Linked DNA regions of Struthio camelus. The protein of the gene in region 4 purifies or fractionates together with the protein of the main gene of each other region. This does not show direct contact. Links are inferred from orthologs where the notes say so. Each region holds a gene or a part of one and is shown on either strand. Other genes may lie near its edges.

Region 1 (6,931 bases), on a different chromosome or scaffold from region 4:
ACAGATAGCAATGGCTTTAAAACCCATCATCAGTCTGGAGTTCTCCAGATTTTATTGCTTGGTCTTTTTCTAAATACGTAGCAGATCTCAACGTAGAATAACTTTTCATAATAGCAGCATCTGGAACCCTTTGTTTATAGAACCAGCGGTTGAAATTATAACAGCACTTAGTGAAATTCAGTAAAAGTCTCTCTCTCTTACTCTCTGCTTGAAGTTGGGAGGAGAAGATTCCAATGGCAAAATCCAGCCTGGAGAAGACCTGGTTGTTCCATGAACTTGGCCGATGTTACCTTGAGCTGAACAAAGCTGAAGAAGCCCAAAATTACGGAGAGAAGTCCCTGCATTCAGCAGATGAGGAGGGAGATGTTGAGTGGCAACTCAATGCTGGTGTACTGGTGGCACAAGCACAAGGTAAAGAAGTTGGTACCTCTATATTCACCATCTTAATGGGAACATTTCTGGGATTTAACAACTAAAGTAACTGTTCAGATAAAACTTTTCATGGTAGATTTGCCTAACTAACCAGTTGTTTTTCTCCTGTTTGCGATCTTAGTTTAAAATAGATGTTTTTGTTTGTTGGTTACAGTAAAATTAAAGGATTACCAGGCTGCAATCCTCAACTTTGAAAAAGCACTTGAGAAGGCAAAGCTTATTCACAATGATGATGCTCAACAGGCCATCATTATTGTAAGTGGCATGTTGCAAAGAGGAGAGAAGCTTGGGGCAGAACTAATAAGTTAGCTATAACTATCGTTCTAATGTCATGAGGACAGAGAAATTGTCACTAGACAGTTACAGCATTAAAAGGGGGACAATACTGTCTCTGAAGTAGTTTACATAATGAAAGATATGAAGTCTTCTGGCTTGGAAAACTTAATCTCTGTTTGTGAACCAGTACAACATACCGAGGGGTGAAGTCCTGGCCCTGTTTGGGTCAAGGGAAATTTTTCTTTTGACCTGCTTGGGGCAAGGGTTTCACACTGAGTATACAGTGGTGTCTCCTCTGCATTCAGTTGCTAACAGCTGGAACGTAGGGTTGACGACAACTCACCTTTTTCTGGCCTCTCCAAGGCATCCCAGAGAAACCACTTTGCATCAGACCATGGAAGAACATCTAGGGCACAGCCATTGTCCCAGGCATAAAACAGTCTGTCTGTTACAGCAGTCTGTCTTCCTTGGTCTGCCAGTGAGTTGCATGTGATCTTCCTGACCAGGTCACACAGCACTGGGCTCACCAGGCATCTAAATCACAAGACAGCACAGTTACAGCATAAACACCTACCTGTTTGGGGATGCCTCATGGGTGTCCGAAGCTCAAGCAGAACCTACTCTCCTGCATGAAGAAAAATGATAGTGTGTGTGAGAGAGAACTTTCAGGGGAGGAGACATTTGATAAGGGATACTAAGAGATATTAACAACCTTTGCAGGGGATAAGTGAAGCATATTGTTGCAGAGAGTTTTAAGGTAGTGAAGGAGCAAGTAACGATAGTAGAAATCAAAAGAAAACAAACTTGGACAGATCTGTAGCTGTATTTCTAAAGCCCTTATTAACAAGCCATATCACTTTCAGGCCTTAGATGACGTGAGCAAAAGCTTCATCAAAGAGCTGAAAGAAGGAGAAAGAGAAACGACAGCTGATTCTCCTAAAGGTAGCTATTATCTAGACCTCTGCACCACGTACATTTAAAAATTCCTCACTTCCCTTTTCTGGGGGACAGACTGAGACGTTGGAAGCAAAGCACCTACTACCTTCAGTAAAAGGACTGCATATCTGTCACCCAGATTTGCTGCAGTCAGTGTCTCAGGGCCTGAGGTCCAACCAGCTCAGGTTCCTTTAATTTTCTGTGCATCATAAAACTACTGCTTTCAGCATGGTGCTCTTGCAGTGAAAATACAGATGAGGACTTGGCATGTTACTGTGCTGTCCAGAGAACAGGCTTTTTACTCTGAGCAGCAATAAAGCAACTGCTCCATTGCCAGATAGCTGACATCCAAATTTCTGGACTGCATGCATCCTCTGTACCGGTACACTGTAGCAGGGATTATTTGATATGTGAAGCCATAACCTAGCGAAAACTTGTGGCTTTAGTTTTTTGGCAGTGAGGGTTTAATATTGATATTTTGGTATAACCTAGAGTAAATCTCATTCAAGTGAAGCCTTGCTAACTAAACTAATAATAGTGAAGGAGCTTAATTTCACTCTTCAGTGCCATCTGTATAAAAAGCTGTTTCTAAAAACATTGAAAGCAGCTCCAGTGCCCAGAGTGCATAACGGTGGGCCTAGTCAGAAGCAAAATAGCGTCAAAATGTGACTGTAAAAGTGACTGTGAAGGAGGGAGATTCACAGTGCTGAGGCCTTCAAAAACCTCAGCTGGATTTTAAAATCCACATAATATAGATGTATGCAGTTTTCTCCCACCATCTAAACAACGATACGTACTACCAAGCATCTGCAGCACGAAGCATGACAGCATAAGCTATCTACAGGTACAGGACAAACAGTTCCTCATCTCAACACATGTAGCCCCCCGCCCCGAGTGCAACTTAATGCAAGCAGTATCCTTTCAGCCTCAACTGGCAGGGCTGCAAAAAAGAAGGGAGCAGGCCTTACTCCTTGTAGTTGTAGCATCCTCCTGGTTATCTGGGTTGAAGCCCCTGACTGAGGGGACAAACTGAAGTCTTGGAACTCTGCTTCCAAGTAGCACCATGCTCATCTAAGGGCTCTATCAATTCTGAGCAGGAGATGGCAGCGTTTCTCACGTTTCCTCTTTGCGCGCGCAGGGAATAAAGTTTGTGCACAGCACAGTGCTTCTTGCACTGCAAGCGTAGGAAAGCTTCCTCCTCGGTCGGAACAGAGCAAACTCCCTCACACCTACTGAGCAGTAGGAGCACCTGCATGCAGTGACGGATAGCCCTGGAGCAGTGTGTACTGCTTAATACATACATGCCCCAGACATCCAGGGCTCAGGGCTAATCACGTTAAACTTTTCTGGGTCAAATGCTGCAATTTTGAACGATCAAGGGAAAGTCCAAGCCTTCCATCTCTGACCATCACTTTTCTAGCAACACCTTCCTCAGGGCCCTCTGTTACCAACATATTCACCGTATGTTCATTTTGTTACAGTTGATTAATTCAGACCGATGTACCTGCCAGTCCCTGGTTTCTGTTCACTTTAGATCATGCAGCTTAGCTTCTTACACCATCGGTAGACGGAGTCTTGTGAGACAGAAAACAAAGAGAAGAGTTTTCCGACTGTGGTGAAGGAGGCCAGGAGCCTTTCTTCTTTTTTTTTTTGTACCCTATTGATTGCTCAGTGCTGGAACTTGGTTTAAAATTGCTTTCTTCCCCCCCCCCCCCCCCCCCCCCCGCAGATGATGATTACAGCAGTGAATACACAGAAGACAACTCCAAGAACACAGAGAGAGAGGAAAGTGAGGAAAGTGAACAAAGCATAGAGAATCAGACAAACGAAAAGCAAAAGGAAGATGCCACGAACAGCGAAGAGGAGCATGGAAACGATAGAGAAGAGGGAAGGAAACAAGAAAATGAGGAGAGCAAGAGCAACGAAGGAGAAAAAGAAGAGACGAGTACAGGGGAAAGAGAAGATGATGAAAATCAGCACTACTCTGCATCCGAGTAGAGTAGCGCTTCCTGAGGAGTTAGGCAGTAGAATTAAATGTTGTGCTGCGATGTTGGTTTTACAAGCGAGAGCTCTCCCCTTTGCTGCGTCTGGACAGCGGCTCAGTCCAGGAGTCTGCAGACGTTCGCGTCGCGCTCGGCCCCCGCAGCGTGCCCACGTCTGCTGGCAGCCCCCGGCACGGACGCAGCTCGCTGCCGGCCCCGCGTCCCCCGGAGCAGGGAGCTCGGCGGGCTCCAGGCGCGGCTGCTCCGCCCCTGCGCAGCCGCCGGGCGGTGCCGCGGGGCGGGGGGGCGCCGCGCTATGAAAGGGGCCGCGGCCGCCGCCGCCCCAGAGCCGCTTCCCCGCCGCGCCGCGCCGCTCCGCACCGGCGGCCGCCCGGAGCCGCTGCCCTCACCATGGTGAGCGCCGGGGCCGGGGCCGGGCGGCAGCTCCTGCCGCACCGCTTTCGGTTTCGGTTCTGGTTCCGGGTCCCGGCGGGGTGGAAGCGGGCGGGGCGGAGCCGGGCACCGCGGAGCGCACGGTACCGGCGGAGCCCGGGGGTAACTCGGGGCGCGCACGGTAGCGGCGGCGGTGGCCGGGGGGGGGGGGAACTCGGGGCGCCGGGGCGCGCACGGTAGCGGCGGCGTCGGGAGGGTATCGGGGGTAATTCGGGGCACCGGGGCGCGCACGGTACCGGCGGCGCCCGAGGGGTAACTCGGAGCCCCGGGGGCCGCAGCGGTTCCTCGCCCGGCCCGGTGCCACCTTCAAGCCGTACCCCGGCCCCCGTGTGCCTCCCGGCCGGGGCCGGCGCGGCAGAGCCTGGAGCTTCCCCCGGGAGGGAGCCCGGGACAAGCGGGAGCTTTGTGGGGTCGCGGACGGGCGAGGGGGTCGCGCTGAATCGGGGATTGTTCGCCCGGCGGAGCCCCGCGCTCCCCCGAGCCCGGCCTCTGTAGTGCCATTGTCCGGCCGCGCTGTACGCGGCCCCCTTTCATAAAGGCGAGCATTATATTTAAAGCTGGCTGCTAAACAATGGGTCCTGAGGGTGTTTTCTATTATTGTTCTTTTGTTTATGCATCTGAAAAGCAGCCTCAGTTACTGCTGCTCACCAGCAGCTGCTTTCAGCAAAATAGTTTGACTGCCACAGTCACAGGCCAAGCCCTGTGCTGGGCACACGTAGCCGCCTCGCCCTCCGGCCACAGCAACAGCAAGTCAAGATACTCCTCCTACTCCCCCGCTCAGGCCAAAGGCCCCTAACCTCTTCGAAAACATAACACTTACACTTGGAGGATGAGCAGTTTCCTGGGACGTCTCACGGCGTCTGTTTTTCTTGCACTCGTCCACAGGCATCGGAGGAAGCCAAAGTACTTGTCCTCTTGTATGATGACTTGGGAACCCCGAGCCCTCAGGGAAGCCAGTGTAGGTGTCCCAACAGAGATGCACGCTCCTTGTTTTTCTTGGATCCCGTTCCTGGGGCAGGAATTCCGCACCAGTCTCGAGCGGGGAGATTGCTGCTCCAAGGACTGTGCTTGGAGCTTGTCATCCCCCCACAAGAGGCCTGACTTGCTGCACAGCGAACATGAAAACAATGCTGGTGCACAGTCCTTGTCCCAGGCTGCTTCGAAACCAAAAACCCAGCTCCAAATTCTAGAATGAAGGGTAGAAAGAGAAGTTAATCAGTTGAAATAGTTGGTTTTCCTACAATGTCCTCACCCTGCAGTCAAGCAGTATTCTTCTGCCACGAGCAGAATATTTATGTAGTATGTAAATCCCCTAGATTTTTGGGTCAGTGGCAAATACTGCTCTTTCAGTATCGCATCTGTGGTTTCTTGACTGCTGGTACAGAGCTCGTGTCTCAATAACAGGAGGTTGTGGCAGGCAGCAGAGTCGAGACTGGTTTGTGGCAAGGATGCAGCTGGGGAGAGAAGTTGGAGAGTTCATGTATTAACCAAAAAGATGGTTGTCCCTATTGGCATTACCAGAACCTTAGACAAATTCCTTGTTTTCATCAAATCTCTGATTTTCCTAGGTCCTGCTGAGAATTACTCTTAGATACCAGTTATTGCATCTGGTGGCAAAAGGGGAAGGAGGAACAGTGCCAGCTCTCGGTTGGTGCTTTTCCTGTCTTGCTTGGTGGTGTCAAGCTCAAGCATTTGTTTTGTTGCTGAGAGGATGGGTTTAACTTTCAGTTCAGGAAATGCTAAGAGCAGGTTTGCTTTTGCCTGAAGCAATATAAGTTCTGTACGAGACCAGCCCAAAATTCCCCCTTCTGAGGCATAAGGGTGCTGCTGTTCAGTGTAGCGTCCAGGCGCAAAGGGAAGGCGATTCTTAACATGATGTAGTCTCCTTGCAGGCTTTACTCTGAAACAGCCTTTCCTACGTGACTGGAGAATTCCTAAACCGGCTTAAATCCGTTTGTAGTCTTTATTTGGATTAATCAATGAAACTTGAGCAGCTGTCACACCTCCCAGGACATTCGTTTCCCCTTTTCAGGACAAGTTCCCCATGGCATGCAGTCTCTTTGTAAACGAGCAGCCGCAAGCGTTGGTTTAAATGTCCTGAAATAAATTTGACCCTTCAACTGCTCTGTCTGGGCTTCAGCTTTGCGGGGGCTCACGGGCGCCTGCTGCTACCACGTGACAGTAAAACTTGCACTTCCATGTCAGATGGTACTGTGGCTGCCACCGGTGGCCAGTGAAGGCCTGAGCCAGAAGGGTGAGCGGGGCTGCCCCTCCGCTCCTCCTCCTCTTGCCCCCGTGTCAGGAAGGCGGCAGGACAACACGGTGCCTCCTGCGGGACCCGTGGTGGCAGCTGTGAGACTGGTGTGAGCCAAGCAGGGCAGCCGAGGTGGCACAGACGTGTTCCCAGAGCTGTTCACGACCCTCCGAGCACAGCCCTCCTCCCTCCCCCTAAAGGTCTGCTGTTGCGTAGTAGAAATACGCTGTCTCTCAGGATTGCTAGCCTACAAAATATTTTCTTATTGAATTTCAGAACAGAGGCTTTTCAAAGAAGAGTCACACGTTCCTGCCTAAGATATTTAGAAAAATGTCTACTCAGTCAGCCAAAGAAAGGCCTGAAAGCTTGCAGTACCCATTCCTTGATGATGATGATACCATCTCCACAGTTAAAGAATCTAAAACCTTTTTTATTTTAAGAGGCCTGCCTGGCAGTGGAAAGTCCACTCTGGCCCAGGCTATTCAAGATAGATATAAAGATGCCTGCAAGGTGATTTCTGTCGATACCTATAAAATTGTACCTGCAATAAGAAGCACTGTTCCTGAAGAGTATTCAAAGGTTGATGAGGATCTAGTTG
Region 2 (7,898 bases), on a different chromosome or scaffold from region 4:
CCCTTCCACGCCAGCACCCTCCCCCCCCGCCGCCGCGCAATGGTACAGCCCGCTCCCCCCACCCAGCCGCAATGGTTGCCCCCCCCGGCGGTTCCCACGGCTTCCGCTTCCGCCGCCCCTCGGGGCCCGGCAGGCCGCCTCCGCCGCCGCGGCACGGAAGTACCCAACGCGCAGCGGCCGGGAGCTGCCGCCGGGGAGGAGCGGCCGCCGGGTTTGTGCCGGTCAGCGAAGAGCGACTCCGTTTCGTTATTTTTGGGGGGAGAGTAGGAGGGAGGGGAGCTTATGGCAAAAACCCTGCAAACGTCACCGTTTCTGGACTGCGGGCAACCCAGAACAATCGCCTGGAGAGACATAAGCGTTTCTGTCTCTTTTTTCAAATGGAGCGTTCCCGTGCTGCTAGGGACGTTTAAGGGCGGCGGGACAAAGGCAGGATCTGAAGCCGTGTCCCCGTCGCCAGGCTTTGGTCGGGGCTGCCGATGTCGTCCCCGGGGTGAGGTTGCCCAACAGACGTCCACAGGCATGTGCCCGCTTTGCATTTTGTCTGCGAAGCGCAATCCAGACGGCGGCGTCTGTGTTCTCCGTTGACACCGCAGCACCGCTCGAGTAGGGCAGAAACATGAAAGAACAAAGTGACCCAGGAAGGCGAGCAGATGCCCAGCTTGCTCGGGGCGCCCGGGGCAGGGCGGCACAGCCGGGAGCCAGGAGCAGGTTCACATGGCCAGGGCAGCCCTGACCCTGCACACGGTGAAACAAAAATCAATGAATGACCCATTGATCCGCTTCCCTGCGGGCGGGTGGAGCGCCGGATACCAGTGACTCAGAGTTTGGTCTGAGCAGGATCCTGACCCTTCTCACAGCCTGGGCTCTGCGCCTGGCTTGGAGCCATCCAGAGCAGGAAGCCTTGCACTTGGCGAGGGCCTGTCCCGGCCACGTGGCATTAAGTAACCAAAGGTGACACCCCGTCTGGTACTAACCAGACGGCACCAGGCTGCATCATACCCTGAGCTTAACCCTTCCTGACATCATGCAGTTTTATCAGTGCGCGTGTGACTCCATGTAGTAGTACATGGCTTCTGTGCGCAGTGTTTGTGCAACAGGGCTTCAGCACCTCCTTCCCCAGGTGAGGCCTGGCTTCCTCATCCTGCCAGGAAAACACTTTCTGTGCCTGTCATCAGCCTGCTGAGAGTCAGAAAGACCATTCAAAACACGCCAGTCCTAGACAGGGTAACAAAATGCTACACAGGGCCAGCACAGAGAACCCCTTAGTCAAGATGCACTGCCGAGCGCAGAGAAGGGCTGTGTTGCCAGGCAAGAAGCTAGATTTTCCTGAGCAGAGGGTGACGTTTTCTCCCCTAAAAGTGCCCTGTTGATAGAGCGTGGCTGCAAGGGGACCCTGGGCCTGCAGCAGCCTGCCCCAATGGCGTGCCAGACCCCACTAGAGGGCATCAGGACATCGCACAGGGCTGGGCCTGGGACTGCTCCAATCTCCCAGGAGGCGGAAATATTTAGCCATGGGATGGAAATCACCGAGGCTCGTAAAGCTCCCTAAGAATAGCAGGGTTAGCGTCTCAGAGGCTAGCTAGCATTTATTAATCCACTGTAACAAGAAGTACCTTCATTTGGAGCCAGGGACTAACACTTCCTTTCCTGCCAGCTGAGATAAAAATGCTGGAGCAAAGGACAGACACAGGAGAGGCAGCCCATTCCCGCTGGCATCACTGCTGCCTCTGGTCCAGCTGAACAAGTGGGCGGCTGCACTGGAAGTGGCACCAGCGAGAGCTGGAACAAGAGTTCTTCTGTTCTCAGCTCCAGCAGCAAACCCTCCTCAGGGCCCCTCGCCTGAGCACACATCGGTGGCTCCGTGACGCACACCCATTTGCATAATGCACAATGTCTAGAGCTCCAGGCCCGCCGGGCCTCTTCCTCTTCTGCAGCAAAACAAAGGCATTCTCTCAAAGACCTAGCTGATTAACGACCCTGTCATCTCAGCAGCAGGGAATAACTGCAGAAGCAATCACATCCACATAAGCTTTTATCAGCTGCTCTCCTAAGATACCCACAGGAGAACAGACACGCGGAAGACAGAGCAGGGGTGGCCATGCACTCAGGCCCAAACTAGACCCATCTCTGTTCTATTCCCCATTCTCCTTCCCTGTAAGGAAGGAATGTCTCAGCCCCTGGGCACCCTGAGCAGATTTGGACAATCCAAGTAGAAGAGAAAGAAGGTAGAAGTAACTTAAATTTACAGATGGGGAACTGAATGGTTACGCAAAGTGTCCAGCTTCACTCAGGAAGCCTCAGCAGAGCTGGAAACTGGTCCCAGATCTCCTGATTCCAAGTCCAGGGCCCCATCAGGCAACCTTCCTCTAAAAATTAAAACTCTAAAGGAGCCAAATGCACCTTTCTCCTCCCCCTCACTCCCAAAGTTCTTGGAGGAACGGGTCAAATGTAAACAGCTAATGACAGCTGCCTTCCATAGCAGCACCAGCATAGCAAAGGGGCTGGTCATAGGAAGATGTGAGCTACACGTGCTCTGGGAGCCTGACTGAGGCAGCAGGTGGAAGCCCTGGGGTGATGACAGCCCTTTACCAGGAGCAGAGCTAACACATCCCAGCTCTCGGAAGGTCCCATGGCATTTACAAGCGAAGCAGCTGGCAGCTGTGTGTTTGGATGGGACAGGGAAGGCAGGCAGGGAAAGAGAATCTTGTTGAAAATTTATAAGAATGACATAAAGATGTACAACTGGGATGAAGAAAAAGAGACAATATGTGAAAGAGAACTGAGAAGGAAGGAACAGAACAGGCACCGAGATCTGCACCTGCACATGGCAGGGACCCACACTGCTCTAAAGCCGTCAGTGGCGGCAGCTCCCTTACACAGGCAGGGCTTTATGTTCACAAGCTGCACAGCCATTCACTACAAAGTGACAGGGTTGCACAGGTTCAGTGGAGCTGTTCCGAAACAGCACCCTGGAGGCAAGAGAGACAGAACGAGATTCAGGCTGTGTTACCTGATGATGTCGGAGGCTACGTCTGTCCACGCACATCAGCTCCAACAACGTACAGAGAAGGCTGCTGCAGAGAGTGATCTATCACAAGACAGCCAGAGATAAAATGAGTTTGCCATGCTTCCTTAACAGGCTGAAGTAGATGTGTAATTTCAAGAATTGTAAAAGCTGGTAAGTCTTCCTGCTATGTTCTTGAGCTATGAATGTCAATCTATTAATAAACAAAAGCCACATCTGATACTAACTTAAGGGGTTGCAGCGCCTGAGATAGGTCCTGCATGCTAGTTAAGTAAAAGCTGCCTCCAAAAAACCACAGCAACAGAATCTCTGCACCCAAGGGGCCTTCACACGTGTGATCATCCTGACTGGAAAAAAAAAGCGTTCAGTTCTTCTTTGCTGGGTTTCAGGATGGTACAGATAATCCTTTCCTCATTAACTCCACCCCAGCAACTCTAACTGGAGTTTCTAAACTTCTGACAATGCTAGTTCATACGAGAGCTTTTACTCCCTCTCCAGCCCTGCACGACAACAACCAGCTCCCATGAAGGAGGCAAGTACTCTCTTCAAGCCCAGCACAGGGCTACCAGGATGGGTAGGCCAGGGGCTCAGCTCCCATATGGGCCCTGCCGAGGCCCCGTACGGCAGCACAGGGCCATGAGGGCAGGCAGGGGAAGGCTCAGCTCCCACACAGGCACTGCTGAGGCCCCGTACCACAGCACAGGGCCATGAGGGCAGGCAGGGGAAAGCTCAGCTCCCACACAGGTGCTGCCAAGGCCCCATACTGCAGCACAGGGCCACAGGGGCAGGCAGGGGAAGGCTCAGCTCCCACACAGGTGCTGCCAAGGCCCCAGGCAGGCAGGGGAAGGCTCAGCTCCCACACAGGCACTGCTGAGGCCTCATACCACAGCACACGGCTGCAGGGGCAGGTAGGCCAAGGACCCAACTCCCAAAGCAGGCTGTGCCCCGCTCACCACGCCCACCGAGGCCCAGGCACTTTGCGCTGCCCAAGGCACTGCCCCGCCGTCACTCTCGGGCCGCAGCCCGGGCCGGAGCCCCTCCGCCACCCCAGGGCCTACGACACGCCTCGCACCTCACGCCTATCTCCACAGAGACGCACAGCCACAGGGCGCATGCGCGCCAGCCGCTTTGTTCTCGAGCGGGCAGCCACTGCGCATGCGCAACACAGACCTTCCCCCCCCCCACACACACACACACATATACACACATACACGCAGGCGCTGTGAATCCCCTGCGGGATAAGTTTCTCGGCAGCTGGTGACTAATGTCACACCGCTGCATCTGCGCATGCGCAGTCAGGGCAGCGGGGCGGCCGTCGCTCCCCACGTGTCGCTTTCCGCTTTCGCGGGCCCGGCACTGCGCATGCGTCCCAAGAGCGCGCCTCGTTCCCGCGGGCGGCGGGCGGCGCACGCGCGGCCCAGGGGGCGGGCCGTGAGGAGCGCGGCGGGGCGGGGCGGGGTGGGGAGGGGGGTGGCGCGCGGCTGCGTGCCGGCGCAGGCGCAGAGGCGCGCGGGGTGGTCGCGCGGGAGCTGCGGCGGAGTGGGGGGGGGCGGGGAAGTGCGGGGGGGGGGAGTGAGAGAGAGGGAGAGGGAGGGAGGGAGAGAGCGGCAGAAGGGGGGGGCGGTCCTTCCGGCCCCTCACTTCCGGCCGTGGCGCCGCGGCGGACGGTGTGGCAGCGCCGCGCTCGGCCCGCTCCGCGCCCGCCGCCGCCCCCCGCCGCCCGCATGCAGCGCCGTGACGACCCCGCCGCCCGCCTGGGCCGGGGGCCGGGCCCCGGCGGCGCCCGGCAAGGGGCGCCCCCCCCGCGGCGGCCGCCCCGCGGAGGAGGAGGAGGAGGAGGTGGCGGCGGAGGAGGAGGAGGAGGAGGTGGGGGGGGCCGAGGCGCCGCCGCCACCGGGGCGCAGCCGCCGCCGCTCCTACCGCCCAGCGCCACAGCGGCCGCCTCGGCCGCCCAGGCCCCCGCCGCCGCCCCCACCCCGCTGCTGCCGGGGGCCGCCGTCAAGATGGAGCCCGAGAACAAATACCTGCCGGAGTTGATGGCCGAGAAGGACAGCCTCGACCCGTCCTTCACGCACGCCATGCAGCTCCTCACGGCAGGTACCGCGGCCGGGGGGGCGGCGGGCAGGGCGGGGGGGGGGGCCCGGCCGCCGCTGACCCCTCTTGGCCGCCCTGCCCGGGGCTGCGAGCGCCGAGGGCCCCCGGGGAGCGGCCCCGGGTGAGATGCGCCCCGCCTCCCTCGGTGGTGGGGGGGTTACCGAGATATTTCTATTATTTAATCTCTGTTTAGCGCCCTCCCCCTCCTCCGTGCTTAGCCTGGATTAAGCACAAACCTAGAACTTTCTTTTTGATAAGCAAGGTACGGTCGTGTTCCCCCTTTTCGTCCCTGGGGGAAGAGGGGACCCGAGAGAACGGTGAAGACTGGGGTTTTCCAGGTAGCGTCTGCTGGAGCCCCTGCGAGGCGTGATTTGTGATCTCTTTGCATTTCTACTCTGGAAATCCGTATTAGAGCTTGTTTCATGCTTTTGATGAGCCTAAATAGGGAATGGAAATGGCAGTCTTTGTTCTGTGCCCAGACTAGCCTTCTCCTTCCCCATCACCACTGTCCAATCGCCTGGCGGCTCTGATTTCTCCCTATCTCTCCAGTGCAGCTGCTGCACCCGCATTTGGTGGCTGTATCAAGTAGACTCAGCTGCCTCACGACACTGTAGTTAGCTTAAAAATTGGAACAAGTTAAGCAATTTCTGCCACTTACTGCTTAATGTGCATGGAGTGGAGAGCTGGGATGTGCTCAGCACAAGAAGGATGAACTCGGATTCGATTTACAGATGAGCAGAGTGCTTAGCTCTCTAGTTATTACCATTCTGTTTCTAAATGTTTTTTTTTAAACAGTCTTTAAAGTATGTAATGTGGCTGTAATCGTTGCAGTGCTAGAGACTTTATTAAGACTTGCTGTCTCCCATTGTACAAGTAACTGAGATATGTCAATGTCATGAGTGACTTGGCATCGCTCATGGGCATCTTGATCTCCATAAATCAGTTTTATAGTCTGATTTGCCACAATTTTTTTTTATTAATAAAACCCTTTAGCCAGCTGATGCTCAACAGCTCTGTGATAATGCCTTGCGGTGAAATGAAACCTAAGGAATTTGCTAATTCCTGCTCAAAGAACAGCGTTCTCATCCCATTTAGCAAAGCTTCATTCACTGAGTGCTGTCGCAAGGATTTATGAGTTTTTCATCAATTTAAAAATTGCTGATAGTAGAGCGCAGCTTTGTGAGACTTAGGATTGATCATTGGAAGAGCTCCAGATGCTTCTGCCTTGCTTTGGTTATTTGAAAATTCCTGTCCTTTGGGAGCATTCACTAGGCAGCCCAAACTTAGGGCGATCTAAGCAGGAGGCTCGTGAGAGAGAATCTGAAATAAAGCCACCGTTTTAGGAGCCTCTTTTTGCACAGATGACCAGCTGTTCCCCAACTGACCTGGATTGCTCAGAATTTCTCTACTGCTGTGGCACCCTTTGAGTATGTCGTGTTGAAGAGCCAGCTGAAAAATCTCACTTTGGAATTTAAGTCTGGGTCAAAGATTGTAATGCGTGTGTGCAGCGTGACTTCATCAAAATGATTTTTCAGACAGGCTTTCAAAACGACTGGTCACGGAACAGCAGCAGTATCCCTATCCCTATGCCAGCCTTTTCTCAAGAATGCAAGTTCATGCTGCATTCCGGAGGAACTCCTGCAGGAGTTCTGCACTGAAACTAAGACATCTTGTTTAAAAACAGTATTTTAAAGTAGTCCAAAATACTTGTGTGGTTCTAGTGCTGCTTAGCTTTTCTGAAAGAAATCAGCATTGTTTAGGAGCAAGATGAAGGGCAACGCAGTGACATAATCCTAATTCTTGAACAATGGGCTGTGTGATCAAAAGGGAGAAAAGTGGCTACCTTTTAGGGTTCTGTAGCACAGCACCCCGAATAGAAATCGAAAACTGGGGTTTCTTACCCTTTGGAATAGGATCCATGTCTCCTCACTTTTATGACTCGGGGTCTACATGGCCTTCCCTTTCCATAGGAACAAGAAAATCCCTTTCCCTCACTTTGATTTATGCCCTTCATCTGTTGCGGGGGCAGGGGGGATGCTGATGCTTTGAAAGGCGCAATTTTCTCTGCTTATGTGCATTGGGAGGATGGGAGACATCTACCGATGTAAGTGTTAGCCAGGCATGTTTTTTTCAAGTTCATGTGTTAATCTTAGCAAGCTCTCTTCATTTCATGGTGGAACTCTCCTTGAAAAGAGCAGGCCTCTTCACCTCTGAGCTTCCAGTGCTACAAATAAATGTGTAAGCCCCATCTCCGCTCCACTAATGGATCTCTACATTGCTAGCATCTAATTGGTCCTCATGTTAAATGCAGCCCTTTACCTCCCCAGACACGTAGAGTGGTGAGGAGGGATGGAGATGGATGGTGAGGGCTAAGTTCAGAGCAATAGGTAACTCGAGGTATTCGAGTAAACCCATGAAGGAAGGAAGCTCTGAGCAATTGGAGTTAGATCAAAACATTGCACAGTAGAGAGCGGCTTGAGAAGTTGAAGGAATCCTCAGAAGAATACCCTGCTGACTCTGCTGATTCTTGTGCCAGAGTTATTTAATCTGTATGTATTCCTAGGAAGAACACGGATGGTGGAAACATAGGCTGTATGGGAAAGTCAGATGGATGGGCAGTGGCCTCGCTGGAGTAACTTGCCAAGGAACCAAACAGTGGGATTAGAGATGGGCTGAGGTCACAGGGGTGATGAGAAACTGTATATAACCCAAAGCGATAGAATGTCCTGAGGCTTTCTCAGCATGGGGTTAAGGCTGTCCTGAAATGGAGGAGAAATTT
Region 3 (7,497 bases), on a different chromosome or scaffold from region 4:
AAAAACTATTACTTCCTTGTCAGTGTGGACAAAGGGGAGATGATAGCCATCAGAAGCATGCAACTTCAAACAAAAAGATGATTCTCAGAAGAAAAGGACCCTTGGAATTTATTCAGACGGGTGATGGGTGGGCTCACACCAAACACTAATGGAAAACAAAAAGAAAAAAGAAGAAAAAAGAGGAACATTCCCCCTTGTTATTTGCAAACATGCCAGTGACATAAATTCACAATAACATAAGGCATATCAAGAACTGAAAAATTTAATAGGCATTAATTTCATAAAACAAGCAAAATCAGGAATTAATTTGGACAAATTTAAAGACCCACAAAGCATGAAAGCGTGGTCTACAGAGGAGAAAAGAAAACTATTCCCTGTCACCAGGACTCCAGTTTTCCCTACTACTAAATTTTTCTTAATATGTAACTTTTTTTTTTTTAAATAAGCACAGGTTTTAAGATTTGGAGCATACCTCCTGTGTTTCAGACTCTTCCTTTATAAATCAGATAACGTTCTCAACATTAGCATTTTGTAACCGTCTAAGCCTCTTTCAAAGCTATTTCCAGAAAAAAAGGAGAAAAAAGAAATAAATTTAGTCAATAACACGTGTAAATCTTGAATAGCTGGCAGATCAAAGCTTGCAAATGCTATCACCTCACTGACTGGAACCAAAATTAAAAGTTCACTGTAATTTCTGCAGGAATAGAGATTGCCCAACAGCTTAAGGAAATACACTGCTTACTTGCAATAGAAAATACTTCCAACAGAAAAAAAGGAGAGGAAAAAAAAGTGTTTGGGAAGTCACAAGCGCCATTGAAAAGGGCAGCTAGACTACTCTGGGCAGCAACTCGAGTTATTGCCTTTCCTCCATCAACTTCACTAGCGAAGACGCACAGTGCAGTTTTAATTTCTGTGTTTTCAGTTAATAACTGCACTTATACCGACTGGAAAGAACTGGAATATGTATATTACTTGTAGTAGCATAAGTAGTACTAGTAGTGCGAGGACAATAGTGCTTGTAAGTTGCAAAAGGAGAAGGAATTTTAAATAGAGTTAGGGGAGGAAAAGCAAAAAGAGAATACTGGCAGCAAGCACTTCGTGGGGGATTGTAAATCAGCACAATCAGACACACAGAAACACAAACTACTTCACTTAGCCCTACCAGCAGGAGCATACTTTCTTCAGCACAGATTTCGGAGAACTCTACGCCAAATGTGCTGCCCTATACTAAGGAACAAACTACAGCCGTTGTGGCGAAGATTTATTCTGCGCTCGCTGGTGACGCTGAGAGCTGGAAACCGCACTCAGCAGGAGGGGGAACGCGTTTTGTAAGTCAGGACAATCGCTGGAGAATAATTTTGCCCTTTACTGGATTGGCGCTTTCGCTCTCGAGGGCGTTGAGGACCCCCGCCGCGCTTGACCGACGACCAGCTTGCTGCGCGCCCCGCCTGCTCCTAACGACAGCGCCGCGGGCCAGCACGGCCGGGGCGGGCCGGCCTCCCCACCCGGCGCCGCCACAGCGAGGGGGCGGCTCACAGCCCTGCCCCGGGGCCTCAGGGGCGCCGCCGTGTCTCACCTCAGTACCGCGCTCTGCGCAGGGGCCGCCCGCCTCCGCGGACGCGTCCGGCCCCGCGCCCGCGCCACGAGAGGGGCTGCTCCCCCCGCCCCGACGGGACACGGCGCGGGCGGCCGGCCGGCCGTTACCTCAGCTCCGTTCCGGCGCGGGGGCGGCGGCCGTTGGGGGCGGCGGCCGTTGGGGGCGGCCCGAGGGACGCTGCTGCGGCACCGCTGGGGGGGAGGGGGGGACACCTCGGCCCGCAGGACGGCGGGGGGGGGGGGGGGGGGAAGCGCCGGGCGCCGAGCTCCCTTCGCGGGCGGGAGGGCAGAAGCGGGAGGGGGAAAGTGCCGGTGCGGGCCCGCTCTCACGTGAGCCACGCTCAGGGCCTGTGCAGACGGCTTAAAAAAAAAAAACGGATGATTAAAGAAAGCAGCCGCCCGAAGATGAAGATGAGATGTCCTTACTGGGAAACAAGCTGGCTGTAGGGCCTGAAGTTCTGCACGCATACTGACTTCAGTCCTGAAAACACAGAGCAGTTGTCTTCTCAACTTGGCTAGTTGACAAAAACCCGGTTTAAACGTTTTCTGGGACCTTTAAACATCCGTCCGCATCACATAAGGATGCAGTTTGGTGGGATTTGTCACATATCAGACCATCTGAAGCAAAGTGGGACCTTCTGCCAGCTCTGCTGCAAGGTAAAGGCAAAAAGCAGGGTAAAATACCCTGACTTACCTTGGCTGCCAGCATGGTGTGATTACAGCGTACGGCCTCACCCGTGCAAACACTCGTGTAAACGCTTACCCCAAAGGGCACGGGCTTCAGTCACTGTATTTAAAGTGGTAAAGTTAGGTACTGGCGTGCATGAGCAGAATCAAACTTTGTGCTCAGGTAAACCAGGTCACCAGCCTCTCTAGGCAGTTCTAAATACTGAAGTAACCACACAGCAGGAGATTTTCAAACAGAAGCAAGTCTTTGGAGGGAAAAGAAGCATCTCCCTAAAGACCAGAGGCATTACACTGAAAAAAGAAATAGAGGGTTATCTACTGCCTTTTGCCCACCTCTTTCCCCAGCTTTTTCCCAGGCCTCCGGCGGCAAGCGCTTACCCAGGCGCCACCGGTACACAGCGAACGAGCCTCGCTCGCTTTCTGCTAGTCAAGACCGGGTAAACCCTCACGCGCTGGTGGCAGCAAGGGGCAGCTACCTGCCGTACGTCTTCCGCGGGAGATGCATACAGAGAAACCGCGTGGGTGGTGGCGGTGGTGGTGTGGCTGCGTGCGTGCGTGTCTGCACACGCGCCGCTTGGCCCAGCGGCTACCGCGTGGGGCAGGTGCCCCGCGGCGGCCGCGCACCCAGCTCGACACGCCTCCCCGCCCCTCGCGAGCGGCGCTCTTCCTACCTGGCGCGCCAGCTCCGCTGCTCCGCCTATCCCCGCCCTTTGGGGCCATACGGGACGCAGGCTAGAGCGCCCCCCTTCCTGAGGCGGCCGGAAGTGGCGTATGCGGAAGGAGCGGGGAGGCTCGGGTTCCGCATAGAGAGCGCCTCGCCCGTGCCGTTAGGAGTAGCCGGTAACCGCCCAGCGCGGCCGCGGCCGCCCCTGCGCCATGTTGCGCGGCCTAGGCAGTTGGCTGGGCCTGGAGCGGGCAGCCGAGGAGAAGTTGCTGCCGGCCGAGGAGGGGAGCCGGAGCAACCCCGCGGATGCGGGCACGGGCGAGGAGCCGGCCGCGCGGAGCCAGGAGCAGGTGGAGCTGCAGGCGGACTCGGACCCGCTCCTCAGCCAGGCCAAGGGACTCGGCAGTGAGTGTCCTGCCTATGCCGCCGCCGGCGGGGGGGCGAGCCGGGAGGAGGCGGCCTGGGCCTGGCACCGGCCGAGGCGCCGCTGCGCCTGACCGAAAAGCGCCCCTCCCAACACACCTCTCGGTGCGACCCCAGCCGGTCGTGTGCCCGCGCCGTACGCCGGGCCGGCCTGCGAGGTGGCGGAGAGATGGGGCGCTCCAGGTGGTGCTTCCCACCCGCCGTACACACACAGCGTTGTTCACTGTAAGGCTTGAGTAAAGGAATAGTTTCCCTTTTCTTCGAGGGGGAGATGGAGGGGTGTCGTGGCTTTGCTCACCTACCCTGGGGAGTGGTGTTAGTGTTTAAAAAAAAAAGTGATTTTAAAGCAATAAAACTATCTTTGTACGGTGACATTAACACAGAGCAGCAACTGCAGGAGCAAAGGTAGGCTAGTTTAGGGCATTTTTAGGGGTTTCAGCAGAAATTAGAAATAGTTATCACTTTCACTTAGAGCAAAGCTCTAACTGAGCTAAGTAGGAACAAATTGGTTTTAAATTGAATTAAGCATGTTTATTCTCAGTTCAGCAAAGTAAAAAGAAAAATCTCTTTTTCATCTAGATGACTACAACTCTTATGTAGCTTGCTTAGTGATGTGAAAGGGGGAATACAAGCTTATAAGATAACGAGAATACTCCTTTTCAAAAAAAAAAAAAAAAAAGAGAGAGAGAGAAGCATATCTTTCCAGATGTAAACAGTAATTCACATCACCTTAGCTAGTCTGTAAAGTGCTCTCAGCGAAGAATGTGTTAAAAGCCATTCTTCTCTACCCTTTTGTTGTCTGATGTTCCCGTATAGGTTCCCATTTTGTATGTTTTTAAAACCATATTTGTTAACGGGGGTCTATGGCATACATCACTACTATGCATTTCACAAGTTAGAGTTTATCCTACAGTCTACTCCACAATTATGAAACAGTCCCCTGCAACTGATAAAGCTGGAAGTTTGAAAGTGTGCTGGATCTCATAGAGTCCAAAAAACAAAGTTATGGTTAGAGATTCCTTTTAAATAACAATAGCTGACAGCAAGAAGTGTTTAAGTGAGTTGCTAACAATTCTGTGCGCTGTTGAAGGATGTTGCCACACTGGAAATGAAAAATCATTTTAGAAATTGTTGTATGTTTGAAATAGGCATTAAGACATTGACTGCAAACAGTTCAGTTATTATCTTTCTTAGAAAAGTTGTTAAATGAGCAGTATTTCTTTAGGTATCTGTTATTCTGGTCTGACTATGGGAAAAGTGATGTGAGCATGCAGAATAATATACTTTGAAGTGTTGTGGGTTTTGCATGATTTTTTGTGTAGAAATACTTTAACTTTTGTTAAACTCATCTGTGATGAGACAGGGCTGTAATTAGATGTAAATAAGTATTCTGTTTTACGGTAGTAGGTTCTGAGATAAAATTCATACAAAGTGGAACACTATTATTGAAGTGTTTGTTGCTGGTGCTCTGAACTGCTGAATTGGTATCTCTAGAAAGCTTATTCTGAAATGGTTCCTGAAGGTAGTTTGCCTTGGACTTTCTGAGCAGCAGCAGATTATCTGCGTAAGTTGGTCACAGATGTTTGTCTATTTAGTATTGTAAGTAGATCCTAATCCAGTGCTCACCTTGACTGCTGAGGAGGGAAAAAAGACTGAATTTTCAGGGGAAGAACAAGTATTGACTGTCATGCATTTAGATGTCCATCCCATAACAGTAAACACAGTAATCTGTAAATGATATGACTCCTTCAGATTCAATTTCTGAGAATTAATTTGCTCTGGGAGTAAGAATTTGATCTAGTGATCCATGGATTTGGCATGTCTGTGTCCGTCCATGTCTGTGACGCAAGAAGATTGTGGTAGAAAGGTCTTCTTTTTAACAGCAGTTAGACATTACTGTTCTAAGACATGATAACTCTTGAGCCATCTCTATGGTTAACAAGCAGCATAATTGTGTGGACAGATTTCCCTAGCTCATAAAGAATTCTACCAGTAAAACTGAAATCTTACACATACTGTTTGTATGCTCGTTACCGTGTTATTACAAAAGGTAGCATTGCCAGCCTAGCATCATCTATGGTTGGAGAGTTTGCCAATATGAACTAAAAACAGAAATATTTCTTGTCAAATACTCTTAATACAGACGTAGTTTTGGAAGTGGGAGGTAGGGGAAGTATTGTTTTTGCACCACTGGTTCACTAGGCCTAGTACTGCTTCCTGTTCAGGCTTTATAAGTACTTTAGCATAAGAAGAACACCTGTCCTTAATAGAAAGAAAAAACATTTTCTGTTCAGATTAGTTTCAGTTCTAGCCATAAGACCGGCCAAAACCACTTTGCTCAACTATACCAAAAAGTTGCTGTGTTGTAGCGTAAGATACATCACCTGTGACAACAAATGTTTCAGGATCTTTTGCATCCGAAACAATTGTATACAAGAAAGCTCCCAGGGATGCATAAAGCAACAAATAAAAGTTGGGGGGAAATGATGCAGTAGGCTGCTGCCTCCTCTACTTTCGTAAAGAGTGTACTCTGCGTGTGTGTGTATATACAAAGTGTAAGATAGGTATTTTTATATGCAATATGAAGCTTGTGATGTGATGTAAAGCCTGATAAACCGAAGATGTTAGCAAGTACTGGGAGGAATTTTGATTGTCACTATTCTGTGACTTACGAGGGGAAGTTACATTTAGAAAACTGGTTTTCTTAAGGACTGGCTAGACCTCTGCATTTTTCAGAACAACTTTGGCCGTATCATTAAGAAAGAATAGTTTATAAGCCACGAAGAACAGCAGCCAGCTTTGCAAAAAGTAACGTGACTACTCCAAAGCAATCCGTTCTGTTAGTCGTTGACAGCTGTGTGTGTTAAAACAACTCAGGTTTTTTTCAGATGCTAAGGTTATTTTTTACATTTCTAACCTTTAATGCAACTCAAATTTTTGGGAGGTCCTGAAAAGGAAGATACGTGTTTTCTTCCCTCCTGCCTCGCCCCAAGCAAGTGCTGTCTGTTTTTAAGTCCCCTATGTAAAAGTTATTTTTTTAGAATAACTGAAAGATCCTTGCTATCCCACATGCTTTGCATTCTTTCTTATGCCTGAAATATGCCTTTGATAGTTACCATACAGCTCAAAAACACCATTATATCTTTCTACAAGCCTAAATTACAGGCACTTACTGAGATTGTATATACTGTAATTATGAAATCAGACATAGTACATCAGTTTAGTATAGTGCTTATGATGTTGTGTAACGATCCGTGAAATAAACTAATTAAATATTGTTTTAAGGTACTTTGTCAATAAATTGGTATTTACTGTTTTTGAAGGTTAATGATTTACATTTTAATGATTGCCTTCTCAGTATGTTCTGACCTCTTAGTTAAAAAATAACAATACAGGACAACTGTTTGTGCTATATGGTTCTTTTCTTGACACCTTTCTTCAGTTCAGCGCAGCTGGTATAAAAAACAATAGTTAGAGTTTTAGAAAGTATTTGTTACTGCTGTTTTGACGCCATTCAGAAAAATCAAGAGCCACGTTATTTCTAATGAAGTTAAGAAAGACAATGCAAAATAGAAAAGGGGCAACATCAAAAGCAATCTTCTACCTTAAGACTTCTGAAGAGATTTGAAGTCTTACCTACCAGAAATTTTTTATGCGTTTGTTGACTCATTCACTTCACGAGACTTTATTGTGCATGTTGATTTTCTTAATTTAAAAAAAAACTGTTTTCCTCATGTTGGTAAAGCTACTGCATTGTTTAATGTCTGAATATTACTTAAATAATTGAAGTTATGAAAGATATTGCTTCAGAAAATTGATTGGAGAGCAGCATTTCAAGGACTATTAGGAATGTTTGGTTTAGTAAACAAGTTTAAGACATGATAGTTTATGGTTTACAGACGCTTTTGATCAAACGTACAGTTACATAACTAAAGAACAAGAACTAGAAACGGATGAACAAGATTTTAGGAGTTCTTTGTAGACAAGAAGACAGGAAGCTAGGTTAAACAATTCTGAAAGAAAACTTCAAGTAGGTATCCAAACATAGAAAGATAAAAGAAATCTAGCAAGAGAATTGGATGTAAAGAGATGTTTTTCAGCTCTTTCTCTTCTCATCTGTAAAAGGT
Region 4 (7,845 bases):
ACGCCCCACAGACACCCTGAGGACCCCCAGGCCCACAGTGGCCCCATGGCCTCCTCAGGGACCCCCCCCCCAGCCCCATGGTGGCCTGAGGCATCTCCACAACCCCATGGTAGCCCATGGGATCCCCCAGCTCCATGGTGGCCCCAAGGACTCTCCCAGCCCCACGGTGGCCACCGGGACCCCCCTAACCCCACGGCGACCCCCTCCTGCAACTCACCCCCGGCTTGAAGGAAGGCAGCCCCAGCCCCACGCCGATGGTGGCCTTGTTGGGGTTCACCACGGAGTTGTAGTGGATGTTACGGTGGTAGCTCACCCGGATCGGTTCGTCCTCGTTGTGCTGGATCCCGTGGAAGGTGTTGATGGGCTCTGTGGGACCCCCACGTCAGCACCCCAGGGACCCCCACGGACACCGGGGACCTCACCACCACCCCGTGGACCCTGGTGTCCACATCCTGCTCCTCCACCACCCCATGGCCATATCACTCACCAGTGCCGTACTGGTAGACCTCCACGGGGCGGTTGTACATCTCGGCCATGGCCTGCATCTCAATGTGGTTGCCGTGGCAGGTGCTCTTGCGCTTGCGGTTGATGTAGGTGGTGAAGTCCTCCGTCACGTAGTTGGAAAAGTAGTCGGCGTTCTTCATCTGTGCGGGCCACCAGCGCTGGGCCACGCCACCACGGGGACTGCCACCGCCAGGACCCCCCCCAGAGGGGACAGAGGGGACACCAGGGTGGCAGGGGACAACTAGGGATGCCGAGGACCCCAGGGCAGCCCTGGGGACACTGGGGAGCACAGGGGGACCCTGGGGACATGAGGACAGCCCCAAGGTGGCACGGAACAACTGGGGGGACTGAGGGGACCCCAGGGGGACACAGTCTGGCAAGGGACACCAGGGAACACAGGGGGACCCCAGGGGGATCCAGCCTGGCAGAGGACATGGGGGACCCCAGTGGACACGTGGGAATGCCAGGGGGACAGGGCCTGGCAGGGGTGGGGACAGCAACACAGGGCCACTCACCAGGTAGTCCATACAGTGCTTGCGCACCACCTCGTGCATGTCCTGGTCTCCGTACACCTGGTCGGCTGCAGGTGGGGGACAGCGCGACAGCAACGGGGCGCGGGGTCAGTGCCTGCGCCCGGATGCCTGGGTCCCTGCCCCGGGCGCCTGGGGCGGGCGAACGTGCAGGGGAGGCAGCGCGGGATGGGCACAGGGTGTGACGCGAGGTGACACAGGAGAGATGCAGGACAGATGTGGGGTGACACAGGACGGCTGCAGGACGGCCGCGGGGTGACACAGGACGGCCACAGGGTGACACGGAACAGCATTGGGATGACTGTGGGGTGACACGGGATGGCAGTGGGGTGACACGGGACAGCGGTGGCTCACCCACGGCCCGGAAGAGGCAGGCGCCATCCTCCTTCATGCGCTTAATGATGAAGCCTTTCTTCTCGCGCAGTGCCTTCTCGAACCGGTGCTCCTGCTGGAGACAGAGCTGGGCTCAGCCGGGGCCCCAGCATCCGGGCAGGACCCCCCACCCCACCAGCAGCCTGCACCATGCCAGGGCACGCGGGACAGAGACCAGCCCCCACGGGACACAAGTAACACGAGGACGCATGTGACATGAGGCCACGTCCCTGCACAACACAACCCTGTACGTGCACATGCAACACAAGGACGCAACCCTGTGTGACATGAGGCCGCATCTAACAAGGCCTCACATGTGACATAAGGGCAAGGCCCTGCATGACATGAAGACACGCGCAACAGGGACATGCTTCTTCCACATCATGCAATGACACACGTGGCAGCAGCCCTCGACCAGACACACACACACACAACACGGCCAGGACACGGGTGACAGGCACACGTGACATAATGTACCCACCCTTGCACAGTCCCCTGTGGGACATGGTGACATGCATGTGACAGCGCCACCCTCCCTGCACAATGGGACGGCACATGCGTGACAGTGACCAGCCCCTGTGGGACGCAGGGACAGGCAGGGGGGCCCGGGGGCCCTCCTATGACAGACGGGACAGTGCCAGCACCCTGTGTCACATGCATGTAGAAGTGCCACCTCCCCGGGCCATACAGGGATGCATGTGGCACCCCCAGCTCCTGTGTCACACAGGGACACACACGGCAGCACAGACATGTGGTGGTGCCAGCCCCATGTGTCACACAGAAACACACATGACACTGTCAGCCCATACCACACACATGTGCCAGCATCAGGCCCCACATGTCCCACAGGGACATGTGCAACCCCCCAACCCATGACACCTGCGTGGCACCATCAGGCCCCACATGTCACATGGGGACACACATGACACCACCAGCCCGTGTCACACACGTGTGGCACCATCAGGCCCCACATGTCACACGGGGACTCGCGCGACCCCCCCAACTCCGCGCCACCCCCACGATGCAAGGGGGCAAAACCAGGCCAGCCGGTGCCCCCCAGTGTCCCCCGCGTCCCCCCCGGTGGCGGCACCTGCTCGGCCGTGGCCGGGTCCAGCTCCACCCGCGCCGCCTCGTACTCATCCTCGCTGTTGTAGCCGCCACCGCCGGCCTCATCCGGGCCGGGGCTGCCGCCGCCGCCGCTGGGCCCGGGCCCGGGCCCGGGGCCGCCGCGCCGCCGCCGCTTGCTGAGCCCGGGGCCGCCGCCCGCCGCCACCACGGCCGCCGCCATGACGCCGCGCGCCTCGGCCCCCTCCAGCCCCAGCAGCCCTCCGGGGCCGCCGTCGCCGCCGCCGTTCCCGGAGCCGGCGGCGGCGGCAGCGGGCGGCGGCGGCGGCGAGGCGCCGGCGGCCGCCCAGCCCCGCAGCGGCGGCGGCGGCGAGGCCCGAGGTCGGGGGCCGCCGCCGCCGCCGCCGCCCTCCGCGTTGGGACCGCCGCCGCCGCCGCTAGGCCCCGGCTCCGGGTGCGAATCGGGGCCGGCGTCCGGATCGGCGTCGGGGGCCGGGCACGGCTTCTTCTTGGGCAGGATCGTCATGGCGGCGGCCGCATGGACCCCCCCGGCGCCCCCCCGCCCGCCCCGTTACCGGCCGCCGCCGCCGCCCGGTGCAGGCCGCGGGGCGGCCGCGCGCTGCGCCGCCTCAGGGGCTTTTTGATCCTCGGCGGCGCCCGTACTGCGGCCAGCACCCCCACCCCTCCCCTACCCTCGCCTCCGCCGCCGCCGCGAGGGCCCCGGCCTGGTGTCAACATCAACAGAGCCGCCCTCTGACCCCGCCGCCGCGCGCGCTCGCTTCCGCCCCGCGCGCCGCGCCCATTGGGCGCCGCCGCACACGCCGCGTCGCCATTGGCTACAGCGCTCGGGGGGAAGTCCCGCCCCCTCGGCACCTCCTCGCTCCGCCTGCCCGGCCCCGGCCCCGCCTCGCAGGAGGAGGAGGGACGGGCCCGGCGTCGCCGTGGCGACGGCGCGCGCGCGCGGAAGGCACCGCCATTGGCTGGCGGCCGTGCGGCGCGCGGATTGGTGGGGCGAGAAGGGGGGCCGGGCCAAGGCGTGCCCACCCCCTCCGCCGCCTTGCGATTGGCTGCTCCCCGCGGGGGCGGGCCCGCCTCCCCCTCGTCGGCTCCGCTTCCTGGCCCCGCCTCCGCCGCGCCTATTGGCTGCGGCCGCGACCTAATTTCCCATTGGATGGCAGCTGCAGGAGGCGGGACGATGCCGCAGTGGCCCTACCCCTAACTCCGCCCCGCGGCTGTCAATCACTCCCCAGGGGCCACCCCTTCCCTCCCCCTCCCTACCAGCTGAGCCCCCTCCCCCTAAAAGGGACCCAGGCGTCTGGGGAACCCCCCCACTCCCGTGACCTAGGCGTCAGGGCACCCCTGCCAAACACAACACGCTATCTCGGCTCCAATTTCCACCTTCATTTATTAAAATCGTGTCTGAAAAGGAAAAGGGGGGGGGGGGAGACCCCCAGCACCCCTCCCCCATGCCCTGAGAGAACCCAGGCATCCGAGTCGCCCCCTCCAAGAGGGGAGCTAGGCACCCAGGCAGCGGGACCCAGGTGTCCGGGTGCGCTCCATGCCGTCGCTGGTGCTCCGCAGAGAGGATCCCATCGGCTACGGTGCAGGTGGGCCAGCCCCGAGGAGGGAGGGGGCCCAGGCGTCCGGGGCTCAGTGGCCCTTGTGGCGGGGGCGGTCGAGGGTGCGCTGGGCAGTGCCCAGGTGGCGCCAGGCATCGGCGATGAGGGCACCAGGCACCAGCACCCAGATCCCGTTGAGCCCCACGAAGTAGCCCCAAAAGTAGTAGGGCCGGGGGTCGGCATGCACCCAGCCCGCCCGCGCCGCCGTGGCGAAGTACAGCACGTCGCCGTACAGCTGCCCTGTGCGGCGGAACCCAGGCGTTTGAGCGTTTCCCCACACCCCTAGCAGCCCCCACCCCATGGCTCACCACCCCTCTGGGGATGGAAGAAGGACCCAGGCATCTAGGCTGCCCCCACCCCTCCCCCCAACACGTGACTCCACCCAGGGGTCTAGGAAGGACCCAGGTGTCCAGGCCCACCCTCCTAGGATCCAGGCATCCGGGTTGCCCCACCCACATGGGCCTCACTCACTAGGAGGGACCCAGTAGTCCCCAGGGACCCAGGTGACCCCCCCACCCCATGTGACCCCACTCCACCCCAAGACCCTACCCAGGGGACCCAGGCGTCCGGGCTTACCAAGGGAGACGACGAGCTGCAGCACAAAGCGGGCAGGGTGGCGCCGCAGGAAGGCGAGGAAGGTGAGGAAGCTGAGGGGGCCCCAAGCCCAGGCTGTCACCGTCTCCATGGCAACCGTGAAGTCATCGCTCCTGCAGGGGGTGGGAAGAGATGGGGGTCAGCACCCGGACACCTGGGCCCCTCACACCACCCCCCACAGCAGCACCCCGACTCACGTCATGTAGCGGCTGTCGGCCTTAGCATACTCCTTCCCTGTGGGCAACATGGGATTAACAGGGGGCCCAGATATTGGGGGGGGTGGGGACCAGGAATCCAGGGGTAGGACACCCTTCCCCACATAACCCACCCCCCCAAGGGACACAGGTGTCCAAGGGGCATCCAGGGGACCCATGAGTCTGGATAGATCCCCTTCCCCCACATAACCCACCCCCTCAGGGACCCGGGCATCCGGGGACCCCTCCCCTCCTCCACACAGCCCCCCAAAGGAACCAGGCATTTGGGAAGCCAACCGGGACCCAGGTGTCCGGGGGACCCTTCCCCTCCACCACACAGCCCCCCATGGAGCCCAGGTGTTCGGGGGACAACCCCCAGCCCCATATACCCTCCCTCAAGGGACCTAGGCGCCCCCCCCGCAAGGGCCCAGGCGTCCCGCAGCGACTCACAGACGGCGGCGAGCGGCCCGGTGGCGGCGGGCAGGTCGCCGTGGCGGAGGCTGAACCAGCCCTCCAGTATCCCGTGCACCCCCGCGCACAGCAGGAACCAGCCCAGCACCAGCCGGCGGGCGGGGCTCAACGGGGCCCCGCCTCGGGGCCCGCCCCGGGCCCCGCCCAGCGCCCAGCCCAGCGCCATCAGCCCGGCGCAGCCCGCCGCCACCGCGCCTGCGCACTGCCACCCGGGCCGCGCGCTCGGCACGTAGCCCGGCAACAACAGCTCCCGCGGCCAATAGGGGTGCGCCGGCGTCGCCATGGCAACGTTGGGGCGGGGCGCTGCGCTGCGGGAGTGGGGAAGGACCGGCGTGAGGCGGCGTGGCCCCTCCCCCATCTCCGTTATCCCCTCCACAGCCCCCGCTCGGCCCCGTTAATCCCCGTAGCGGCCTCCCCACCCCAGTTAGGCCCCACCAGCCGCCGTTAACCCCCTCCGGCCCCCCCAGCCCCGTTAGCCGCGCCTTAGCCGCCCCCCCAGCCCCGTTAACCCCTCCGTAGCACCCCCGGCCCCGCAGACCCCTTCCCGGCCCCGCCCGGCAGACCCCGCCCCCGCCCGGTAACCCGGCCCGGTAACGCGCCCCCCGCCCCGCGCTATCGCTCACCTCAGGAGCGCGGCAGCTCTCCCGCGCGGCGCGGCCCCGCCGCCTCGGGCCCTGCCGCCGCCCCGCCCCCGCTCCGCCGCGCCGGCCAATGGGCAGCGGCGGCGCCAAGGCCGCGCCCGGCCAATGGGGGCGCGCCGCACCTCCCCCGCCCTCCCCCGCGCCCCGCGCTGATTGGCGGAGGGGGCGGGTGAGGCGATGTGGGGCCAGGGGCAGGGGCGGGGACGGGGCCGGCGCCCATATATGGAGGGGGGGCTCCCGGAGGCGGTGGTGCGGGGCTTTAAGCCGAGGGGCGTGGCTTCCGCGCTGTTCAGGACCCGCCCCTTGGCCCTGAGGCCCCGCCCCCAGCGCACTCCGGGGGGCGGGGCCTCCTGTGCAGCACTGATGACATCACAGGGGCCGCGGTGACATCAGTGCCGCGGCCCGCACCGCGCCGATAACGTCAGCGGCAGGCAGGCTTCTGACGTCAGAACCGGGTACGGGAAGAGCAAGCCCAGGTGATGATGTCACTGCCCCAGAGGGGGGAATCCCTCCTGGCATCATGGCTGTGGGGGCGGGGCCTAGTCAATGACATCACAAAGGGGCAGGGCCCAAGTGATGATGTCAGAGAGGGGTGCAGCTCCCAGGTGATGATGTCATCACCCTGCCAAATTCAGCCCCCCACCCTGCAAACGGGGTTTCTGCCCCAAATTGGATTTATTTCCTCCAATTGTTGTTTCCCTCCCCAAGTCAGTTTTCTCCAAACCAGGTTCTCTCCCCCCAAATCATTTTCTTTCCACTAAGCCGGTTTGCTCCCAAAACGGGTGGTTTTCAGCCCCATTTCATGACTGGGGCAGCAGGGCTGCGGCACCTCCCCTTTCCCCTCCAAAATCCATGACGTTTTCCCCCAAAACCTCACTTCAGCCATTTTTTCCCCCAAGAAGGCAACAGAGCCAGTAGCAGTGCTCCCCCAGCCTCAAATTGGTGGCGCTTCCCCCCCAAGCCCCACTTTTGGCCATTTTTCCCCCAAGAAGGCACCGGAGGCAGGTGGCAGGTCCCTCGTGTATTGTACAAACCCCCTGTACAGCCCCCAATTCCCCTTGTTTCCCCCCAAAACACCCCAGGTTTGGGTCACCCTCTGCCCCGGATCACACAAGGGTGCCGGGGGGTTGCGGGGCCGCCCCGGGGGGGTCCCCTGGGGGCCTGGGGGGAAATGGGGGGAAAAGGGCAAAAAAGGGAAATGTAGAAGGAGGGAAAGGGGGGGAAAGGGGGGAAAGAGGGGGAAAAGGGAAAAAGTAGGAGAAAAAGGGAGGAAAATGGAGAAAAAAGGAAAACAAAAAAGAGAAAACCAAAAAAGGAAACATAGGAAAAAAGGAAAACCAGAAAGAAACAAGGAAAAGGAAAGGAAAGGTAAAAAGGGGAAAACAAAGAGAACAAAAAAGGGGAAAATAGAGGAAAAAAAGCAAAAAAAAAAGGAAAAAAATTGAATGAAAGTCAAAGAAAAAAAATGAAAAAAAAAAGCAAAATACCCAAAAAAGAAGACACAAAAAGTGACTCAATTAAAGAAATAAGAAAAAAAAACAAGAAACAAAAACAGAACAAGAGAAGAAAAAGCAAAACAAAAACGAGTGGAAAAAACAGAAAAGTCCAAAAAAAGGAATAACAAAGAAAAAAAGAGAGAGAAAAAAAGAGAACAGGGTTAGGCCCCCCCCGGAAAGCAGCGCCTGCCCGGACGCCTGGGCCCCTCCCATCCCCCACCTTGGGGCTCCCCGGACACCTGGGCTCCCTGAAAACAACAAAAAAGCAAAGAACAAACAAAAAAAAAAGAGGGAAGAAAGACCTAAAAGGAGCTGGGGACCCCAAAATGGGGGGAAGCCCCCAAATTGGGGCAATTGGA

Evidence for each region.
Region 1: the proteins of OTUD5 (region 4) and CNP purify together in Homo sapiens (affinity purification with mass spectrometry; 3 studies listed by BioGRID, with this or other methods). This does not show direct contact. The link is inferred for Struthio camelus from reciprocal best matches to the Homo sapiens genes OTUD5 and CNP.
Region 2: the proteins of OTUD5 (region 4) and KHDRBS1 purify together in Homo sapiens (affinity purification with mass spectrometry, with the first as the bait; 3 studies listed by BioGRID). This does not show direct contact. The link is inferred for Struthio camelus from reciprocal best matches to the Homo sapiens genes OTUD5 and KHDRBS1.
Region 3: the proteins of OTUD5 (region 4) and CTPS2 purify together in Homo sapiens (affinity purification with mass spectrometry; 3 studies listed by BioGRID and IntAct, with this or other methods). This does not show direct contact. The link is inferred for Struthio camelus from reciprocal best matches to the Homo sapiens genes OTUD5 and CTPS2.

Annotation. Positions count from the first base shown.
Region 1 is NC_090966.1:7,413,473-7,420,403, forward strand, and holds the start of CNP (2',3'-cyclic-nucleotide 3'-phosphodiesterase), read left to right. Parts: upstream 1-3,918; 5' UTR 3,919-4,037; coding exon 4,038-4,040; intron 4,041-4,047; exon of another isoform or gene 4,048-4,181; intron 4,182-6,609; coding exon 6,610-6,931. Other genes in the region: ODAD4 (outer dynein arm-docking complex subunit 4), read left to right, coding at 215-411, 587-687, 1,572-1,650, 3,374-3,642. UniProt on the Homo sapiens protein: Catalyzes the formation of 2'-nucleotide products from 2',3'-cyclic substrates. May participate in RNA metabolism in the myelinating cell, CNP is the third most abundant protein in central nervous system myelin.
Region 2 is NC_090964.1:8,675,240-8,683,137, reverse strand, and holds the start of KHDRBS1 (KH domain-containing, RNA-binding, signal transduction-associated protein 1), read left to right. Parts: upstream 1-4,893; 5' UTR 4,894-5,028; coding exon 5,029-5,122; intron 5,123-7,898. UniProt on the Homo sapiens protein: Recruited and tyrosine phosphorylated by several receptor systems, for example the T-cell, leptin and insulin receptors. Once phosphorylated, functions as an adapter protein in signal transduction cascades by binding to SH2 and SH3 domain-containing proteins.
Region 3 is NC_090942.1:138,824,685-138,832,181, reverse strand, and holds the start of CTPS2 (CTP synthase 2), read right to left. Parts: upstream 3,011-7,497; 5' UTR 2,955-3,010; exon of another isoform or gene 2,789-2,954; coding exon of another isoform or gene 2,760-2,788; exon of another isoform or gene 2,617-2,759; intron 2,575-2,616; 5' UTR 2,291-2,574; intron 2,247-2,290; exon of another isoform or gene 1,577-2,246; intron 557-1,576; 5' UTR 473-556; intron 146-472; 5' UTR 60-145; coding exon 13-59; exon of another isoform or gene 1-12. Other genes in the region: SYAP1 (synapse-associated protein 1), read left to right, coding at 3,160-3,352, 7,496-7,497. UniProt on the Homo sapiens protein: Catalyzes the ATP-dependent amination of UTP to CTP with either L-glutamine or ammonia as the source of nitrogen. Constitutes the rate-limiting enzyme in the synthesis of cytosine nucleotides.
Region 4 is NC_090979.1:307,311-315,155, forward strand, and holds the start of OTUD5 (OTU domain-containing protein 5), read right to left. Parts: upstream 3,013-7,845; 5' UTR 2,998-3,012; coding exon 2,497-2,997; intron 1,483-2,496; coding exon 1,389-1,482; intron 1,085-1,388; coding exon 1,020-1,084; intron 645-1,019; coding exon 488-644; intron 367-487; coding exon 218-366; intron 1-217. Other genes in the region: EBP (3-beta-hydroxysteroid-Delta(8),Delta(7)-isomerase), read right to left, coding at 4,122-4,330, 4,667-4,797, 4,882-4,918, 5,329-5,632; CCDC120 (coiled-coil domain-containing protein 120), read right to left, coding at 6,436-6,529. UniProt on the Homo sapiens protein: Deubiquitinating enzyme that functions as a negative regulator of the innate immune system. Has peptidase activity towards 'Lys-48'- and 'Lys-63'-linked polyubiquitin chains. Can also cleave 'Lys-11'-linked ubiquitin chains (in vitro).